Saccharomyces cerevisiae S288C: one gene and its partner. Each later gene encodes a partner of the first gene's protein in a complex. Each region holds a gene or a part of one and is shown on either strand. Other genes may lie near its edges. A codon is read from its position in the direction of its gene.

Evidence for each region.
Region 2: the proteins of HHT1 (region 1) and YTA7 are in contact, whole or in part, in a cryo-EM structure (PDB 7UQJ), measured with the Saccharomyces cerevisiae proteins. Residues at the interface, in NP_009564.1 of Saccharomyces cerevisiae: Lys10 (codon at 1,563), Thr12 (codon at 1,569), Gly13 (codon at 1,572), Lys15 (codon at 1,578), Ala16 (codon at 1,581), Pro17 (codon at 1,584); in NP_011786.1 of Saccharomyces cerevisiae: Ser490 (codon at 538), Lys491 (codon at 535), Trp492 (codon at 532), Val493 (codon at 529), Lys530 (codon at 418), Gln531 (codon at 415), Glu532 (codon at 412), Ile534 (codon at 406).

What each region holds. Positions count from the first base shown.
Region 1 is NC_001134.8:254,796-257,401, forward strand, and holds HHT1 (histone H3), read left to right. Parts: upstream 1-1,535; coding exon 1,536-1,946; downstream 1,947-2,606. Other genes in the region: HHF1 (histone H4), read right to left, coding at 578-889; inorganic diphosphatase IPP1, read right to left, coding at 2,317-2,606. UniProt on the Saccharomyces cerevisiae protein: Core component of nucleosome. Nucleosomes wrap and compact DNA into chromatin, limiting DNA accessibility to the cellular machineries which require DNA as a template.
Region 2 is NC_001139.9:1,025,615-1,029,374, reverse strand, and holds the start of YTA7 (chromatin segregase YTA7), read right to left. Parts: upstream 2,006-3,760; coding exon 1-2,005. Other genes in the region: HUA1 (Hua1p), read left to right, coding at 2,722-3,318; FOL2 (GTP cyclohydrolase I), read left to right, coding at 3,640-3,760. UniProt on the Saccharomyces cerevisiae protein: Functions as an ATP-dependent nucleosome disassembly factor that helps evict canonical histone H3 from the 5'-end of genes upon their induction.

The DNA.
Region 1 (2,606 bases):
ACAAATACTACCTTTTATCCTGCTCTTCCTGCTCTCAGATATTAATGCCGAATTGTTTCATCTTGTCTGTGTAGAAGACCACACACGAAAATCCTGTGATTTTTCATTTTACTTATCATTAATCGAATGTATATCTATTTAATCTGCTTTTCTTGTCTAATAAATATATATGTAAAGTACGCTTTTTGTTGAAATTTTTTAAACCTTTGTTTATTTTTTTTTCTTCATTCCGTAACTCTTCTACCTTCTTTATTTACTTTCTAAAATCCAAATACAAAACATAAAAATAAATAAACACAGAGTAAATTCCCAAATTATTCCATCATTAAAAAATACGAGGCGCGTGTAAGTTACAGACAAGCGATCCCTATTCCATGCAAGTTCGGTAAGTAGCAGAAATAATCAAACTGTTTAAACCCAATTAAAATTAAATTAAATACCCTTTATATGTTTATAATTGTACATATTTCTCCTAAACCCGCTATAATACACTCATATTTGTAGAAGAAAAACCGGGCAGTTGAATACGAATCCCAAATATTTGCTTGTTGTTACCGTTTTCTTAGAATTAGCTAAATTAACCACCGAAACCGTATAAGGTTCTACCTTGTCTCTTCAAAGCATAAACAACATCCAAAGAAGTAACAGTCTTTCTCTTGGCGTGTTCGGTGTAGGTAACAGAGTCTCTGATGACGGATTCCAAGAAGGATTTCAAGACAGCTCTGACTTCTTCGTAGATCAAACCAGAAATACGCTTGACACCACCTCTTCTAGCTAATCTTCTGATAGCTGGCTTAGTAATACCTTGGATGTTATCTCTTAGAATCTTTCTGTGACGCTTGGCACCACCTTTACCTAGACCTTTACCACCTTTACCTCTACCGGACATATTTTACTATATTATATTTGTTGCTTGTTTTTGTTTGTTGCTTTAGTACTATAGAGTACAATAATGCGACGGAAACCATCATATAGAAAAAATATCTCGGTATTTATAGGAAAAAGAATTAGACCTTTTCCACAACCAATTTATCCATCAAATTGGTCTTTACCCAATGAATGGGGAAGGGGGGGTGGCAATTTACCACCGTATTCGCGGGCATTTGCTAAAGTAAACAACTTCGGTTTTTACCACTAACCATTATGGGGAGAAGCGCTCGGAACAGTTTTACTATGTGAAGATGCGAAGTTTTCAGAACGCGGTTTCCAAATTCGGCGGGGAGATACAAAAAAGATTTTTGCTCTCGTTCTCACATTTTCGCATTGTCCCATACATTATCGTTCTCACAATTTCTCACATTTCCTTGCTCTGCACCTTTGCGATCCTGGCCGTAATATCTCTCCTTGACTTTTAGCGTGGAAGATAACGAAATGCCCGGGCGATTTTTCTTTTTGGTACCCTCCACGGCTCCTTGTTGAAATACATATATAAAAGACTGTGTATTCTTCGGGATACATCTCTTTCCTCAACCTTTTATATTCTTTCTTTCTAGTTAATAAGAAAAACATCTAACATAAATATATAAACGCAAACAATGGCCAGAACAAAGCAAACAGCAAGAAAGTCCACTGGTGGTAAGGCCCCAAGAAAGCAATTAGCTTCTAAGGCTGCCAGAAAATCCGCCCCATCTACCGGTGGTGTTAAGAAGCCTCACAGATATAAGCCAGGTACTGTTGCTTTGAGAGAAATCAGAAGATTCCAAAAATCTACTGAACTGTTGATCAGAAAGTTGCCTTTCCAAAGATTGGTCAGAGAAATCGCTCAAGATTTCAAGACCGACTTGAGATTTCAATCTTCTGCCATCGGTGCCTTGCAAGAATCTGTCGAAGCCTACTTAGTCTCTTTATTTGAAGATACCAACTTGGCTGCCATTCACGCCAAGCGTGTCACTATCCAAAAGAAGGATATCAAGTTGGCTAGAAGATTAAGAGGTGAAAGATCATAGTTTGTTGATTGTCATCAGTTTTAGTAAAAAACGAACAAAAACACAATAAAATATAAATCAATATATTTAGGTTTACTGGGTTCTTTAACAGTTGTATAATAGTTATTTTTTATTACAAAAATATAGGTTTTAATAAAAAAAAATAGGGTTCTATTTGTTTTACATTTATTGATTTGTTTTTCCTGGCGATACCCTCGAAAAAAGCCAGGCCTTGTAGGAGGCAAGATTTATGGCTTTCCATGTGGTTAAAGAAAAATTGCAGCAGGAAGATATTCATTCATGAGTCAGTTATATAATCGATATATAGCTACATATTAAACAACTTGAAGCCGCATACGTGGTAGGTGTCTCATTTTCAATTCAAAATATTTTAAACAGAACCGGAGATGAAGAACCACTTGTCAATAGACTTGTCAATTGGAGCATCTGCCTTTGGAGAAGCTGGTGGGATGGCATCAGAGGCAGCCTTGGAGTAGGTTGGGGTGTCAGGCAAAGTAACATTGGTCAAATCAATACCCTTGCTGTCAGAAGACTTACCAGCAATTAATTGTTTCCAGGAGTCATGTGTTTCCTTGATGATATCCAAAGCGTACTTCTTGTTCTTAGCTTCACCGGAGAAGGCAAATTGGTTTTCTGGCTTACCATCTGGGATTTTGTAAA
Region 2 (3,760 bases), on another chromosome or scaffold:
CTAACATGAAATCGCTAACTTTGACTTTAATCTTAGAAGGGTCCACCAAGAGTTTATCATTTGACCTATAAATTTGAGGAAAGCTTCTTTGTATACTTATTAGTGCAGCCTCAGTGCATAGGGACCTCAGATCAGCACCACCATATCCTTTGGTCAAAAAAGCCAATTTATCAATGAAGTTGGTTGACAACGGTGAACTCCATTTCCTGGTCTGAATTTGCAAAATTTTAAAACGTGCTTTAACATCAGGTAATGGAAAATAAAATTCTCTATCAAATCTTCCCGGCCTTCTTAATGCGGGATCCACTGCATCGGGTCGATTTGTGGCTCCGATGACAATGACTTGGCCTCTATTGTCCATACCATCCATCAGCGCTAATAATGTGGAAACAATACTAGCATGGATCTGTTCTTGTTTGGAACTTCTCACAGGCGCTAATCCGTCGATTTCATCAAAAAAAATGATGGAAGGTTGATGTTTTTTAGCTTCTTCGAATAACAAACGGAGTTGTCTTTCAGCTTCACCAACCCACTTGGATAAAATATCTGCACCTTTACGCATAAAAAATGTGATCTTCCTTTCATCAGAAGAACAACTTGCTGCTAACGCTCTTGCCATAAGTGTTTTACCCGTACCAGGAGGACCATGGAAAAGAACACCCCTTGGGGGCGTGATATTAAAATTTTGATACAATTCTGGGTATAATAGTGGTAAGGCCACCATTTCCTTTAATTGGTCAATGTAGTTGTCTAAACCACCTATATCGTCAAAATTTACATTCATGTCTACGCCTAATGGATCGAGGTCTGCAATTTCTGGTTTTTTCTTCTTCTTTTTTTGCGTGTTCTCTTTCTTTGTTTTCGGTGTCACGCCAAGAGGTAATATCTCATCATCGGAAGAGTCTGAATCCAGTATTAATTTATTGTTGTTATTATCACTGAATGCAGATGGGACTTGGTTGTAAAAATTAGTATTCTTACCAAATATTGTAGTTACGTCATTGCCACCAAAAGGTCCACCAGTGGGAAAAAGCCTTCTTGTGGGACCAGAATTTTGACTAGCATTCCAACCACCGCGACCACGCCGTGCAGGTGATGGGTTATGAAAAGAAAGTGCATTGTTATTCTTATCTATAAATTCTTCTGCGTTGCTAGCAGTTAGTGGTGGTGGTAATTTGTAATTTACCGGCTTAGTTCTTTCGCGAAGAAATCTTTTTTCCCTGATAGGACTATCTTCCTGTAACTCTCTAATTTCATCAGCTAAAGTTAACGCTTCATTCCTGCTATTATCATTCTCATCGTCATTTTCTTCATTTGAAGTACGCGAATGTCTTGTCCTACTTCTTAAAGCTCTTCTTACCGGTGGTGGAGTTTCTGGGTGACGTGACGATCTTGTTCTTCGAGAATTTGCCCTTTTCAAACGTTTAGAAGAAGCCGAATGGCTTATTCTGTCTCCTTCTTCGTCATCCTCATCGTATTCTTCATCGTCATCAGGGTCTGGTACTACAAATTTCCTATCGGCCGCTCTGCGCCGACGGTTGTTATCCTTCGAGTCTTCATCCAAATACTCATCTTCAAATTCGTCTGCTTCTTCCTCCTCTTCATCATCGTCGACATCTTCCTCATGAAAACTTTCGTCATCTTCTTCTGGATCATGCGCTTTTCTTTTTCTCAAGTTCCTTTCATTAGTAAGCTCTTCGTTCGTTCTGGCGTTTTCGTGCGGTGATACAAGATCAACATCATCGTCTTCATCATCGCCTTTCTGGTTGTTGTTATGATGTTCATCACTAGTAACATCAACGGGCGTCTCATCTTTGTCCATGACCTGGTCATCTTCCAAAAAATCAAACACTTTCTCAATTTCTGCGTAGTTTATTTTTCTCAAAGAGCGAGTTGTTGTATGGATTATGCCATTTTCGTCTTTAATCTGTGTTTCATACCCAACCTTTGCGTTGCTTGCATCTTCAACGTCGCTACCGCGTCTATTCCTTAAATTTCGTGCCATGTTCTTTCTGCACCAATTGTGAATAAATAGCGAGAAGAGAGAAATAGACCGTGGTAACTTCTTTTTATGACTGTCGAAAACAACAATGGGTTAGTAAGGAGTACGCAAGATCCTTCAGACGTTTTGCTTTATTTAAGACCCTACGCAGTTCCTTTTCTGCTCCTTTTCGTCCCAATATTGCTCTTTCGCTACCACTTTGTCCTTTTTCGCACACATGGCCGTACAAAATAACAGACGGTACGTTTTTAGTGATAATAAACAAGTTTATAGAGGCAGAAAAAAATTCCTCAGCGGCTAATGCCTCAACAAGTTCAGCTGCAAACGATGAAAAGACGCACACAAAAGCGAATAGAAATAACCGATCACCACAGTTCCTCTTTAAAACATCTCAAACTCAGCATTAACTTTCAAATCAATCCAGTGAAAGTATGCTTGGTTTGACACTTCACTGCCATTTCCTCCTGCCTGCCTATCTGATGCTTTGCCACCACAAGAGTGTTTTCCCTATGGCTTAATCGCTTTTTTCCATTTATTTTTCTCTTTCCCCCTTTTAATAGAGGGAAGAGAGCAGAACATACAAACATATCATTTTCTACGGTATAGCCTCCGCCTCCATCTTTAATAGTGACACTTCCATCAAGGGAATAAAGAGGCTTCAAGTCAAGAACTAAGCAGTCCCAAAAAATACCCATAAAACGAGTATAAACCATACTGTTATGTCTAAAGACACGCATGATGATGAACTGCCGAGCTACGAGGACGTAATCAAGGAAGAGGAGAGATTGCAATCTCAACCGCCACGACCACCAAGACCAGCAGCTAACTTGGCGCAAGGGCACCAATCAAGACCCCACCAAAGGCCCTCGACAATGCCAGCAACGTCCTCATCCCAAACATATGCTCACTCACACTCTTATACGCCTACAAGTTCCCAACCACGGCCTCCACCGAGGCCACAACAGAATCCTAGCTTGCCCTGGACATACCCTCCCAGGTTTTACTGTTCCAAGTGTGGAAATACGGGTTACAAGTTGAAGAATGGACGATCTTGCAAGTCGTGTTGGAGGAGGTTTGCACCTCAAAATAACGTTGTTTCTGCACCGACATATTACACAAACTATACAATGCCCGTGTACACCAACGCATGGCAGGGTAATAGGCCCTTGTACGTTCAACCAGGGGATCCTCGCCTGGGTGGCGTGCTATGTGGTGAATGCAGAGGGTCCGGACGCACCAGATTCCTGTTGGACGAAGATATATGTCCTCTTTGTCATGGTGTAGGCAGAATTATCACCCAGCCTCAACGCTATTAGCGCATGAAAATTTAGGATTTGGATGACCCGGTACGGCCTTAGTAGAAAAGCTGTGTCGCTCACCGAAAAGAAAAAAGACCGAACAACTGTAGGATGAAAAGCATATTTTAATGCTCCTAATTTTCAAACATGTCTATTACATACTTATCACATAATCCGACTGATTTGCCCTTCTTTAACTTCTTTCATTTATTTTTACGGTGCCAACCGTCTGATCGATATAGCATCCGTTCATAAAATATTATACGACTCCATCCTCAATCGTGATTGTGCGTGCGTGACTCATTTTTTGTTAGAACCAATACTTTCAATCATCCCAAAATGCATAACATCCAATTAGTGCAAGAGATAGAAAGACATGAAACCCCGTTAAACATTAGACCTACCTCTCCATACACTTTAAACCCTCCTGTCGAGAGAGATGGGTTTTCTTGGCCAAGTG